Nothobranchius furzeri: one gene and its partners. The protein of the gene in region 1 purifies or fractionates together with the protein of each later gene. This does not show direct contact. Links are inferred from orthologs where the notes say so. Each region holds a gene or a part of one and is shown on either strand. Other genes may lie near its edges.

What was found. The genes of interacting proteins can lie anywhere in the genome.
Region 2: the proteins of gpn3 (region 1) and polr2j purify together in Homo sapiens (affinity purification with mass spectrometry; 4 studies listed by BioGRID and IntAct, with this or other methods). This does not show direct contact. The link is inferred for Nothobranchius furzeri from reciprocal best matches to the Homo sapiens genes GPN3 and POLR2J.
Region 3: the proteins of gpn3 (region 1) and polr3b purify together in Homo sapiens (affinity purification with mass spectrometry; 3 studies listed by BioGRID and IntAct, counting the BioPlex papers as one, with this or other methods). This does not show direct contact. The link is inferred for Nothobranchius furzeri from reciprocal best matches to the Homo sapiens genes GPN3 and POLR3B.

What each region holds. Positions count from the first base shown.
Region 1 is NC_091746.1:47,857,713-47,862,426, reverse strand, and holds the start of gpn3 (GPN-loop GTPase 3), read right to left. Parts: upstream 3,190-4,714; 5' UTR 2,970-3,189; coding exon 2,922-2,969; intron 2,789-2,921; coding exon 2,680-2,788; intron 452-2,679; coding exon 284-451; intron 159-283; coding exon 34-158; intron 1-33. UniProt on the Homo sapiens protein: Small GTPase required for proper localization of RNA polymerase II (RNAPII). May act at an RNAP assembly step prior to nuclear import.
Region 2 is NC_091743.1:77,208,015-77,212,287, forward strand, and holds polr2j (DNA-directed RNA polymerase II subunit RPB11-a), read right to left. Parts: upstream 2,599-4,273; 5' UTR 2,381-2,598; coding exon 2,238-2,380; intron 1,687-2,237; coding exon 1,578-1,686; intron 844-1,577; coding exon 742-843; 3' UTR 680-741; downstream 1-679. Other genes in the region: deoxynucleotidyltransferase terminal-interacting protein 1, read left to right, coding at 14-69, 247-355; protein phosphatase 1 regulatory subunit 15B, read left to right, coding at 3,636-4,273. UniProt on the Homo sapiens protein: Core component of RNA polymerase II (Pol II), a DNA-dependent RNA polymerase which synthesizes mRNA precursors and many functional non-coding RNAs using the four ribonucleoside triphosphates as substrates.
Region 3 is NC_091744.1:73,559,238-73,563,958, reverse strand, and holds the start of polr3b (DNA-directed RNA polymerase III subunit RPC2), read left to right. Parts: upstream 1-1,742; 5' UTR 1,743-1,858; coding exon 1,859-1,930; intron 1,931-2,172; coding exon 2,173-2,205; intron 2,206-2,517; coding exon 2,518-2,574; intron 2,575-2,652; coding exon 2,653-2,717; intron 2,718-2,796; coding exon 2,797-2,872; intron 2,873-2,992; coding exon 2,993-3,093; intron 3,094-3,199; coding exon 3,200-3,291; intron 3,292-3,381; coding exon 3,382-3,499; intron 3,500-3,568; coding exon 3,569-3,677; intron 3,678-4,205; coding exon 4,206-4,328; intron 4,329-4,721. Other genes in the region: endouc (uridylate-specific endoribonuclease C), read left to right, coding at 1-118, 586-698, 783-933, 1,000-1,275. UniProt on the Homo sapiens protein: Catalytic core component of RNA polymerase III (Pol III), a DNA-dependent RNA polymerase which synthesizes small non-coding RNAs using the four ribonucleoside triphosphates as substrates.

The DNA of each region.
Region 1 (4,714 bases):
GACACAAACATAAAAGAACAGATATATGGTTACCTTAAATGACTCCACCATGAACTGTGAGTCGACTAAAAACACCCCACACACCCGAAACTCCCACTGCTGGAGCTGCTCCACCAGTTGTCTCATCACAGGGACGTGTGTGTAAAGTTCAATCTGACCTGTTTAAAGTAAAAACAACACAAAGCTTCAAACTTATGTAATTTAAAAAGGACTTACCTTTAGATCAATTAGACCAAACTTAACAGCCAATACTAAAGTTATGTTTGTTAAACAGATTACTCACCTGGGCAGTCAAACAGAATATAGTCATCTTCCACATGGCCCAGACTTTCCTCCAGCCAGTCAAAGTTGTTGGCAAAGTACTCCATGCAGAAGACCAGACCTCCGTTAGGGCCAAATTTCAGAGAGTCATCCTCCATCACATCATCGACCTGGATGAGCTCACGGATGTCTGACAAAGCAGGACTGCAATCAAATATAGTGTGCTTCACGGAGAAAGTAATTAATTTAAAAAATCCTCCTGATGTTACTTGTACTTGTGAGTTACCGTAAATCCTCTAATACAGGCCCGGGCCTGTATTTGACTCAAGCTCATCAAGCTCCAGGCCTTTATTGGAAGGAGGGCCAGTATTAGAGGCAGGCCTCTATTTCTATTTGAGCAAAATGAACTATGGTTCGCTGGAGTTTTTGACAATTAAAAGTGCGCCCACATTTTCAAAGTTAAACACATTTCTTTTAACAACGGTAGTTCCTGCTTCAGCCCTCTCCCCCCTCCCCCTGCTTCAGCCCTCTCCCCCCTCCCCCTGCGCAGCGGCCGCAAACTCACTGATGCGCCTGCAGCCTCTCGGAGTTCCTGCTGCTCTAAACATTAAAATAATTATTTCATTTTCTGTTCCTCACTTCTGATGACCTTCAATGGTGTCTGTTTGTTGCAACAGCAGGTACAAAAACTAACTTGTTTTTATTTGACTATTTTTCTGTCCTGTCTGTTTATTATCTTCCTGCATCTCCTCTCAATCCTAAAGAAAAACTGCTGCCTGGGTTCATATTCACCTCATGAGTTACCTTTGAACTGCAGTTCTAAAAGATCTACCGACCGCAAAAACAGCGGAGCGCTTGCTGTTTGGCGGCTGTATCAGTGATCAGTGCGTCGGAGGACAAGGTGATGCGCGCAGCGTCCCGCTCCACAGCGTGCAGCGAAACACATCAGGCGCAAATAAAAGACAGAAAAAATTAAAGGAAATGAACTGACATGAACGATCGCGTGTTAAATTAGTTTTTGAGGTGGCGACACCTGATTGTTACTGTGGCCGTGCTCAGGAGGCAGATCTACCGACCGCGAAAACAGCTGAGCGCTCCCTGCTGTGATCTGTGCGTCGGAGGACAAGTTGATGCGCCCCGCTCCACAGCAGCGATACACATCAGGCGCAAATAAAAGACAGAAAACATTAAAAATTAACCGACATGAACGATCGCGTGTCAGTACCTACGGTCTGGCACTTGAGTTTTACCCCCAAAAAGAGAATGTGATCATACGATAATTCAATAGGGAGCGTGGTTTCACAGACGCGGAAGTGAGAGCGTCGGTGAAACGCCGGCTGATCTAGGAAACCCCCGAGCGTTCGAGCGTCAACGAAGTGACACGGAAATGCCGGGCTTTCCAGAAGTAAGTAAGATAACTTACTATGAGCTGATAGTTCGTTGGATTGATCGGTAGGTTGGAAACTCTGATCGTGAATCTGAAGAAACGATGACTGAGTGGTGAGCTGGAAAGGCAACTTCCGTTTATAGCCGCGGTTTGTGACGTAGGTGCGACGTGAAGGGAATCCCCGCGAGGGGCATGCTGGGAGTCCCTACTTCGCGGATTTTCACCTATCGCGGCCAGGTCTGGAACGCATCTACCGCGATAAACGAGGGATTACTGTAGTTCATACACACCCTACTGCTGCTCTCCAGAGTGTTCTGCAGCATAATCAGCACGTTCTCTTTGAACTTGATAGTGTAATGACCTGGCTGGGGTTGTAAGCCAGGTGCATTCTGGGTATTGTGTTATATGTGTTTCCTATCGTTCTGCTAGTTCCTATGTGCTGATTTGCGTGTTGTGTGAGTGTTATGTAAGCCACAGGGAAGGTGATGTGTGTTCTGTGGAGTGGGTTGAATTAGCATGGTTAACTGACACCATGACTCTGTGTGGTAGGAGCGTGATAGAGGATCGTGTCTGTAGCGTTACAAAGCGTTGAAGAAAAGGCCTAATAAAGGTCTGCGTGAACCTCTACTGCCTCCTGCTGGTTGATTTGGGAACTATAACCCTGCCGCTGGGACGCTCGTACTTGCTTGTTACCACATGCCATCCGGCCACAATAAGAGACCGGCCATTATTTACCTCCGCTGACTCTGACACCGGCCAAAATTGGAGACCCGGCCTTTAATTGAATACCGGCCTGTATTAGAGGATTTACGGTAATCCTATCAGAAGTAATTGTTTTACTAAACTGAATTTAAATAAAAAGACCAATCCACAAAATCACAATCACAAAGTGTTTCCATATTTTTTATCCGAAACTACAAGTGATCACCATGTAACAATGAAACCTAACCTAATCTATTTGAATTTCTTCATTTTACACAATTTCTGTTTTCCTATTAAGCCTTTCTGATGTGATCTTTAAAAGTCTTTACCTGCCATCACAGGGTAGTCAAAATGCTCAGCAGCAGGATCCAGATTTACCACCTGAACAGATCGGTTTAAGGCCTCTGCATGCTGGACCAAGGTGGAGCAGTAAGTACTCTGAAATATCAGACCAAAAAAACGAAGACAGAAGTTATAGTTTGTGTAGCACTTGCCTTAGCTCAACATGTTAGCAACGCATTATAACATAAGAAAGCATTTATGACGTCCAGCGTGATCAGCGATGACTTACCTTACCGCTGCCCGCCGGGCCCATCACTAGTTGGGCATAACGAGGCATTTTATCCCACCTTTACCACACCTGTGACCTGGTTAATTTAGTTCACGTAGCTTCTCACAGTTAGCTAACTGTTGACCTGAGAGTTTTTCTTCTGCTTTTCCGTAACATCCGGTTGCCTGCCTCACTACTGCCCCCTCTTGATTAGCTGGTGAATTATCACATTGAACCGCGAACAAAAATTCAAATGTATTTATTTATCTTATAACGTGACCTAAACATCTAACAATTTCTTCAATGTGTAAAGAATAATTATGATTTAGCTCATTTGATTAGCCTTAACAGCAGATTTTTGTTGTATACATTTTAGCTAACAGTAGATGGCGGTAGAGGGTATTGACAGAAAAAAGAAGGAAGTAGAAGGTAGCTAGAGAACACGAGGAAGACACAAACTACTACATCACGATGAAGTGTTGCAGCAACAACACAGTCAGAAATACTTGACCTGGTCACTTGTCTTCATCATTTAACTTTATTATAAAAATGGCTAAATGTTTAGACAAAGTGAGTTGATTGACAAGTTAAGCTAGTAGAAGAACTTTCGCGTGAAAGCGAAAATCTTGTTGGTAGGTATCCAATATGGTTTTGTATACAGTAAAGCATCGAGTGTTTATTTTATTGGGTTGCTTTGTGTGTTATGGTTTGGCTTTAAAGTAGCTGCGCATGCTAAATCAATTTTGTTAGTTAGTCAGAAATATTAGCTTCGAGAGTTCGATTAATGATTCAAACATTTGCCATTATCTATCTGGGAGTTTTCGAAAGTGAACTTTACAGACTCGCTGTTACTGCAGCGGTGTTCACGATAACACCGCCCTTCACTATCAAACGAAACATATTTTTACGTTTTTCAGCGTTCACTCTTTGTTTTATTGCAGAAAGGGAAGTCGAAGACAGCGAGAGGTGTTTAGTAGCTTAGATCAAGTCATTATTAGCTTCAAACCCACCGCAGTGCATCACGGGTTATTTGATCATTTTTCTTCTTAGACGTTTTTAATTAAACAGCAATGTCTAGCTAATCTTCGTGACCAAGGAGCTTTCGTAAGTAAGTATGTGTTATGTAATTTTTAAAGTTAATAAATTATTTACATGAATGGAAAAGGTCACAACTTTAAAAGCAGCTGATTCAAGTTATGTTTTAAATCTAGCTTTAAAGAGCAAGTCACTCCCTACCAGATTCTTACTCAACTCCCACATCCTGTTTGAAAAAATGCAACAAATGCTGTTGCCTAGCAGACCAAGAGGGTGGAGCCACTAACAAATGCACACACAGGCTCACAACAAGTTTGTGTCATCATATGGTACCAGCTAATGTTTTAGGGTACGTATTAGCCAATAGCGATGGCAGATTTAAATTCAAATGCAGTGCAGTTTTTACCCGACAACGTCAGAACACTGACAGTTTTAGGCAGAAATTTTAAATTTTAACTAAAGTGCAAAACTATTGACTACACGTGTCTGCAGCACGATTAGACATGCATTTATGTAGTTTATCAAAATAAGTTTATCAACTTTTTCTTGCAGATAAACTATATAAATGAGTGTCTAATCATGCTGCAGACACGTGTAGTCAATAGTTTTGCACTTTAACATTAAAACAAAACATTACAGTTATTAGCTTTCTCCTCTGACGTTCAGAGTATAACGGTTGCGACGCCATGCGTTATGTCCGCGGAATGATGCATTGAGGCATCCTCGATACAATGGGCGGAGCAAGATCACATCCGGGAACTTTGAGCGAACTTGCATAC
Region 2 (4,273 bases), on another chromosome or scaffold:
TGCATACCGGCAGGCTTACCTTCTGATTGAAGAGGACATCCAGGATTTGTCTCACAGCGATGAGTACAAGTTAGTATCCAACCTGAAACACAAACTTCTGGATCCAGCTGCAGAAAACAGTTTAATCACTAGAACAGAACCAGCTACCAGTTTTATTGACCTTATTCTAGCATTTGTTGTTCTGATGATGTAGTTGATAGCTGGTGAGATGTGTGTGGTTGCCGTGGTAACTTGCATCCCTTTTAGGGACTGTCCGGATGTCAGGATGGACGAGTTGAAGCCGTTCTCCGTTCCTCCGTGGATGGTGGAGAAGATGCAGCGAGCCATGGAGGCTCAGAGAGACTCTGACCCCTGATGGTCACATGATCAGGGGCCACACGGCATGTGACATCACAAAATCAGATTTTTTTTATTTTTTACTGCTTTTCTTTTAAAAGAATATTCAATTAAATCTGATTGACAACTATTTTGTTTTGTTTGATATAGTTTAAATTCTTAGAGGTGACATCACTTCCTGAAGATCAGCTGATCAATGCTAGAATTAACAGGTGAAGATTTCCATACCAGCTGTTCCTTTGGACATCTGAGTGGGATCAGATCTAGTTCCAAACCCTATTTTTAATAGTGTTTGGCAATTTTGTCGAAATACTTGTAAAAGGTATTGACTAAACACAGAATCTGACATCTTAAGTTTATTTAGAAAAACAAAACAACAAAATGAGGTGAGGTCAGAGGTCAGGGTCACTCGATGCCTTCCTGTTTGTCTTTGATGGCAACTCTGAAGCGTTCTTCCAGCAGAGACAGCTCACTGATCAGATCTGTGATGGCATTGGTGAATGCTTCCTGTGGAGGAAATGACATCACATTTGGTTAGGTTTCCAATTTCTATCATTATTGTGTCTCAACCAATCAAGACACAAAACATATGAGAAACAAATCCAGACCCACTTGGGTCCAACAGCATCATGAGGCTTAGACCACCAACATGTATAAAGACCAGCTGGAGGACAGTGCAGAAGTTGAAGCTGAAAGATCTGAAAAGCCTCCAGAGGCTGGCTCCAGTAGAGGTTTTATGCCCCAACCCCTCTATCTAAACCAATGAGAAATGATCTTGTTTAAGAACACAGCTTACACCATCTTGACTCCTGTTGGTTTGCGTCCTGCCGGCAATGCGGACCAAAGCTCCGACACCGGTCATACAGGGACCTAACAGCCCGTGTCAGAGGGCCTGGTACCCCATGCTCCTGGACTACCCCCCACAGGGCCCCCTGAGGAACACAGTCGAACACCTTCTCCAAATCCACAAACACATTTAGATTGGCTGGGTGAACTCTAACGCACCCTCCAGGACCCCCCTAAGGGTACAAAGCTGGCCCAGTGTTCCACGATCAGGATGAAAACCACATTCGTCCTCCTGAATCTGAGGTTCGACAATACGACGGACCCTAAATAAAATATATATATAAAAAAAAAAATATATATATATATATATATGCATGCACACATTCCTTCACTTCTCTGGTGAAGTCCCTACAGCCATCTTTACTTTATTTGGTGTTGAAGACCTGATGGGTTACCTGTGGACTGTAGTCAGGTGTGGTCTGCACTCGGATGACGATCTTGTGCTCAAGAGGATGAGGAACTTTGTAACCCGCGAACAGAACCTGAGGATCCTTCAGCAGCTGACTGACACACAAAAACACACAATTAGGGGCCACCAGACAGGACACCTGTGTCAGAGCTCCTCCCACAGGCGAAGGCCGGCTGCTGTCAGGTTTTTTTTTCTTTCCAATATCAAATTGTGTCCTTGAGCTCAGATGATGTTCTCCAGTGTGTGTGTGTGTGTGTTTTACGTCCAGATGATGTGCCCCAGTGTGTGTGTGTCTTACGCCCAGATGATGTTCCCCAGTGCGTGTGTCTTACGCCCGGATGATGTTCCCCAGTGTGTGTGTGTGTGTGTGTGTGTGTGTGCGTGTCTTACGCCCGGATGATGTTCCCCTGTGTGTGTGTGTGTGTGTGTGTGTGCGTGCGTGCGTGTGTGTGTGTGTGTGTGTGTGTGTGTGTGTGTGTGTGTGTGTGTGTGTGTGTGTGTGTGTGTCTTACGCTCAGATGATGTTCCCCTGTGTGTGTGTGTGTTTTACGCTCGGATGATGTTCCTCAGTGTGTGTGTGTATGTGTGTGTGTGTTTTACGCTCGGATGATGTTCCTCAGAGTGTGTGTGTGTGTGTGTGTCTTACGCTCGGATGATGTTCCCCAGTGTGTGGTCTTCCTTGTTCAGAGTGAACAAACACGCGTTCGGGACCTTGGTATCTTTACTGATGCCGATCTTTTTCTCTCCTTCAAAGAGCAGAAACGACTCGAAGGCTGGAGGTGCGTTCATGTTTGTGCTGGAGCAAAGAACCCCGAACCGAACCACTAGGATACTTCCGCTCAGCTTTCTTTGTCTGGTTTAAAGACTGTTAGGAAATCAGCTTTGTGTGGCATTACCGCCACCTGCAGCACGATAAGCGAAACTGCATATTTAAATCAATAATAGAAATTTGCAGCACGTAGAAAATGTTTACTTTCACAATATTAGGATAATACATGTTTGACCTAAACACGGTTCATGTAAAATTTGCAGCATTTTTTTGTTTAATAAAAGCTAGGACCTGAACAAAATACATCAAACACAGTTCATTTTAACCAGAAACACACGTTTCAGTGTCACTCTCTGCTTTTCTGCAATTTACCAGGTGATTAGCCAAAACGCTGCCCATGGCACCCCTGATGGTACCAGATGTCACCTTAAGGTGGTGTTACCATCTGGTCTCCTCAATGCACCCATGACTCAGAGGAGCTATACCTTTACAGCGTGTGACGCCATGTCCTATTTTTTCCTCCTATAGCATAAATAATTACTTTATATTAATGAGATTCGTGTAGGAGTGCATCGAGAGTAAAATAAAAAATGGCTCCCTCTGAAAAAGAACTGGAGAAACTTTCCGCGCCTCCGCTTCTGCCGCGCGTTCGTGCCGCTCCGTGCCGCGCCGCCAACCGTCTGCCGTTTACCCGGAAAAGGAAGACGCGGGGCTTCTGCTGATGGTCTTCTGACTTTCTGATGAAATCTCCCACTGCAGCCATATAGACAGACTCACGGAGTTGTGCGGGGGCCAAAACTCCTCTCTGAACGGATACCGGGCAGTATTACCGGTGGGAAGAACTCCCTTCCATCAACAGTCGACGAAACCAACCAGAAAGCGGAATTTAAATCGATAATTTTAAGTCGTCGCTGGGAAGTAAACTAACCGCCGTTTGCTTCTCGTGCTAAGCTAACCTGCTAACCCAGCAGAACCTCCCACCCGCGATAAGCCCCGACAGGATGGCTCGTTTTTCCGCTTCACATTGGGACTTATCATCGTTTCACGGCTCTAGCATGTTCAGCTCGGCTCAGTTTTCCAGCTCCGGTACCACACGGAGGAAGTCTAACCACCACTCTCAGCGGAATGTCGCCGGCTCCGGGCTTATGGACGTTATCTTTTGGGTTCCTGGCGGCCACTTTAACATGTTCTAGTGAGGTTTGACAGCTGTCAGTGTAACTTGCTAAAACCGCTGCTGTTTCAGGGAAATTCATTTGTGCACTTTAAGTAGATAAAATGTTCAGAAACATAAACGCCGAAGAATGTACGTGTGGAGGAAAACGCTCGTCCCACCCACCCGGCCCCGCGGTCACATCGGTCGGACAGGATAGCCAGGACAGCTCGTGGATCCGTCTGCTGTCAAGGCCCGCGCTGTTGCTGCGGCGGAAACTCCGCCAGTGGAACATCGCTCCGGCGGAGCTCAGAAGCAGCTTGATGAGTGAAGAAAGTGAGACTTTAAGACAGTTAAATGGCATGATGCCCCTCAGCCAGTCCGCACCTGCTCACCTGACCCACCTGCAGTGTCAGCACGAGGGGGCAACCGGCCTGCTGGAGTCATGGGTCAGCAGGTCCGCTGCGTCTCTGCGGGACTGTCAGAGCCCCGGGGAGATGGAGCTCTGCCAGCAAATACCGAGCGTATATGTTTCCTCTGTCGGGACTTTTTTTACCCAGGTTCAGTTGATCTCTCAGGAACACATCGGAGGAAAGGTGTGTGTGCCAGGGAGCTTCCCGGTAATGGGGGGCTCCACAGGTAAAGGTGGACCATGGTGGAGGGGTAGCATTCTGTGGGGCGAGGAGAGCCCAGCCAGGGGGCTGCTGTCGGGATATTACCGGCCTGAGGAGGGGGCAGAGACATACTATCTTTGTCCTCAGGC
Region 3 (4,721 bases), on another chromosome or scaffold:
AATGAAACTCCTGGACAACTATGAGCGGTCTACAGGCATCACGGAGCGAGTCACAACAGAGGAGCAGACAGAGATCAGTCTCTTCCTGGATGCTGTTTTAGAAACTCAAGTTATGAAGGTGACTTGTTGCAGATTTTGTTACTTAGATGTCTTTAACCTCTCATCGTTTCATGCATTTTGTGGTTTGAAGCTGCAGCTGAACACTGCAGAAACTCGACTCATCGTGATGTTTGAAGAAAGGGAAAAAAATAACAAAACAGGCAGCTGAAACATCTGTGTGCAGCTGTGGAATGTTGTGTTGGCCTCAGTGGGCTCCCCAAAGAGGATCACTGGAAAAATGTGAACTTTCAGTACTTGTTTTAGGAGGAAATACTTTTCTGGTCCAGTTAAACCCATAAAGTGTTTCTTACTCTATAGTCAGGGAACAAAATTGTTTTACATCACGTTTTGATTCAATTAACGTTTCAAAACACTGCCTCAAAGGAAAGGTATAAGCTGCAGCTTTTATTTATCATTTGCAACATTAACTGTTCATTTGCTCAAACTGGAGAAACTTTCTGAGTAATCTATGTGATTTCTTCTCAGCGTGCCCATCAGTATCTGGTGAGCAAAGGAAAGTCCAGGTCTGACTTGAGGCTGTTCAAGAGTCAGCTGAGCTTGATCTGGTTTCATCTTTACCACCGACAGAGGAACACGGGGTGGGAGTCTGAACATCAATGCGTCAGAGTCTTTTATCACTTTGTTTGTGACGATAATAAGTAACCATTTTGTTTGTGTGACAGCCCAGACTCTTGTGGGTTTGAACACGTTTTTGTTGGTGAAACCAGATCCGGAACAGAAATAATTGGCTTTCACAACTGGGTTCAGTTCTACCTGCAGGAGAAAAACAGCCAATTGGATTACAAGGGATACAAGGCCAGAGAGCACGACTTGGTAAGTTCACCACATGGAGGAGACGCATCTCTGTCGGCACCATCTCATGTCTGCTTCCACCTGCAGCCTGACCAGGATGACCACGTTTTGAACCTCCAGTTCAGCTGGCACGGTGTGCTGAAGCCCGTCGGCAGTGCCTTCATTGGGACCAGCCCTGAGTTTGAGATGGCCATCTTCACCATCATCTTCCTGATGAACACAGAGAGGAGCACCACAGTGCTGGTCAACATCGACCAGTGTCAGCTGGAGCTGGTGGTCGTCAGGCAGGGACGTTGTCTGGGGACGGCATACCCCAAACTGCTCAGCAGCAACAGCAGACATGTCAGGGGGCACGCTCGCTGACCCTGTCCACACCTGAAATGACAGGTGGTGTCTGTATGGAGGCAGCAAACTGAACATCCATCATGACTGTTCTAAACTTTATTCAAAAATGTAGAAGATGCTTTTAATAGAATAGTTTGTGTTGCTTTTATCAGCATAGCGTTAGAGGATCAATTGATTCAATCAGATTCCTTAGTTTTTTCCTCTGCTTTAGTCAAAACCAAAAGCATTAATTCTAATTAATTTTCTATTTATGCTTGAAAAAGTCAACGTGTTTTTCCAGTACATTAAGTTACTTTTTGTTTGTTTCTCGTACTAAATAAAACAACTAAGTAAAACAATCAAAAAGTGAATTTCTTGTCTTTTTTTGTTTCAGTAACGTTTTGCACCACTAGGTGGCATACGTTTATTAAACTGTTGAGATCCCGCGACCTCCGAAGAAGTCGTTCCAGACGGAACTATGTAGTTCCGCCCAACGTTTCTACGTACGCTTGAAATTGAAACACATAGCTGGGACGCATGCAGCCGACACTTCCTGCGTGTTGTGTCAACACTAACGTTATTTATATTTTTAAATGTTTAGAGTAGAACAGCAACGGTGACTATGGAGCTGCTGGGAGGAGAGTTTGGAGAAATGACTCCTCAGGAGTTGGCGGCTCCTGTCAACACTGTGGCGGTAAGTTCGGGGAAAATCGGACAAAAAGGTTTTTACACCACGAGTGCAGTGCAGTAAGCTAATTCAACAGATTTAACTGATGGTGTGGTGCAACGAAGCTTCTTAGTTGTTAAATGAGTCTGGAATTATGTCACAGCTGGAACATTGTAGCATTAAATCCAGAGTTTGGCCAACCTCGGCATAAAGTGCTCCAGAAACGGAATAATTTAATTAATTAACTGGTTTGTTTCTCTTCCTGACAGGAAAAATGGAAGTTGTTACCAGCCTTTCTGAAGGTAACACAATAAGTAGAATTATCCCCCCCCCCCCCCCCCCCCGAGGAAAATCTAGACAAATATTTAAGCAGAAATTTCCATTTATAATCCAGATTTTTATTAATTCTACAATTTGAAGACTTCTGTTGTATTTTTAATTTAATTTCCGACTTTTGTTAGTTAATTTGATCTAATCAGATTCATTAATTTATGAAAAGTCAGGTTTAAATAATTAAAGTTAATCCCTTTAGCCCTCAGTGACCTAAGAGTTTAACCATGAGATACATCCATGCTCCTCTCTTTTTTTCTCTTTCATCTCTGTGTGCGTTGCAGGTGAAAGGTTTGGTGAAGCAGCACATTGACTCGTTTAACTATTTCATTAACGTTGAGGTAAAGCTGAAACCCACCAACCGGGCTTTTACTCCTCTGTTTAAGATTTCACTTCACTAAAAGCATCTTGTGTTTCAGATCAAGAAAATTATGAAAGCAAATGAGAAGATCACAAGTGATGCTGATCCACTGTGGTACTTGAAGTAAGTTATTCAATCGTTATATTACTGACACGCCCTTTATCTTGAATTGGAGTTAATCTGAGAAGTGGTTCCTGTGCAGCTACCTCAATATCTACGTTGGGATGCCCGATGTTGAGGAAAGCTTTAACGTAACCCGACCGGTTTCTCCTCATGAGGTGAGTCTGATCAGATGAGATCATGTTTCAGTCTGACAGGTTTGTAAATTAAATCCATCAGTGGATTTATGGGAATATTTGTTGATTATTTTGCTTAAAGGAGAAATTCTGTTTCCACAGTGTCGCCTCAGGGACATGACCTACTCGGCGCCCATCACAGTGGACATAGAATACACTCGCGGCAGTCAAAGGATCATCCGAAACGCTCTGCCTATTGGAAGGTTTCTGATTTTTGACTCATTCTAATTTATCTCTCAAATTCTGCATTTCAGCTTTCAAAACTCGTCAAGATGTTATTGTTAAGAGGATTCTTTCTACTCGTGTCAGGATGCCGATCATGCTGCGAAGCTCGAACTGTGTTCTCACAGGAAAGACTCCCATGGAGTTTTCTAAACTCAACGAATGTCCTCTGGACCCAGGTACACTGTTGTTAAAAAGGATCTAACTCTAATTCTTAATGTTTTATTCTGGTCCTCTGTTTGACAGAGTTGTGTTCTTTTGATTTTCAGGAGGTTATTTTATTGTAAAAGGCCAGGAGAAAGTCATCCTGATCCAGGAGCAGCTGTCCAAGAATCGGATCATTGTGGAACAGGACAGGAAGGGTGCAGTCGGCGCCTCGGTTACCAGGTAGGAATAAAGTTACAGCTTCCTCCCAAATGAAGGAGTTAGACAGTTTAACTTGTTGTTTTGTTTCAGCTCCACTCACGAGAAGAAAAGCAGAACCAACATGATTGTGAAGCAGGGTCGGTTCTACCTGAGACACAACACGCTGTCTGAAGACGCTCCCATCGCTATTATATTCAAGGTAAAACCAGTTTAAGTACGTCCAGTAGGTGGCGCTGCAACACAACTAAAGAGAAGATTTTCTCTGCAGCTCTGATCTGTGTAAAATCATAATTGATAAACTCATGCTGTGGGAGGTTTTGATGAACTCTGTTCATCAGCCGGAGTGAAAATGTCAGTGGAACAGCTGGTGCTGTGATCTCCCATCACCTCTGGAGAAAAGCTTTTCTAACACATTACCTTGTGAGTGTCTGAACCCTCGGTTCTGTTTGCTGAGAGCTCGTACATCCTGGACTGCTCCTTCCCCACCTCCTTCTGCGACCTCATCTCCTCCGTGGAGCACACGAATCAGTTCCCACAGCTTCACATTTCCATAAGCAAATGTCATGCACCCCCATGACTCCGAGCTAACCTCTCTGACCCCCACCAACACTCCACCTCCTAATGTTTCAGCTCATATAGTCTCAACGTGGTTATATATTGAAATGATTTAGTTCACCCCTTTCACATTAGTCCCTTGTCTTCTGCATCATGTCTGTGACCCACACAGGGTATGGGTGTAGAAAGTGACCAGGAGATCGTTCAGATGATCGGCACCGAGGAGAACGTCATGGCTAGCTTCGCCCCGAGTCTGGAGGAGTGTCAGAAAGCCCAGATCTTCACCCAGACTCAGGTATTTCAGTAAAAAAAAAAAAGCCACTGGTTACATCAACATGTTTTACAGGCTAATCTCAGGTCAGGTTACCAATCTGGTGTTTATGACGCAGGTACAGATGAGTTAATTTTACCCCTCCTCTTTGTATACTCAGTGGTTCCAAAAGTCTGGGTCAGGGTCCCACTGTGGCTCATGAAACACTTAGCTTTGGTCTAGAGACAAAAATCTTAGGCCTAGTCCACACGTAGCCGGGTTTTTTAAAAACGAATATCCGCCCCTCCAAAAACTTGCATCCACACCACCGCGTTTTAAAAACAAACTCTGTCCACACGTACCCGGATAAATACGTTGTTAAGGACATGCCAGACCTGTAGGCGGCAGTACTTCCCCCGTTCTTAACCTCGTCCTTCG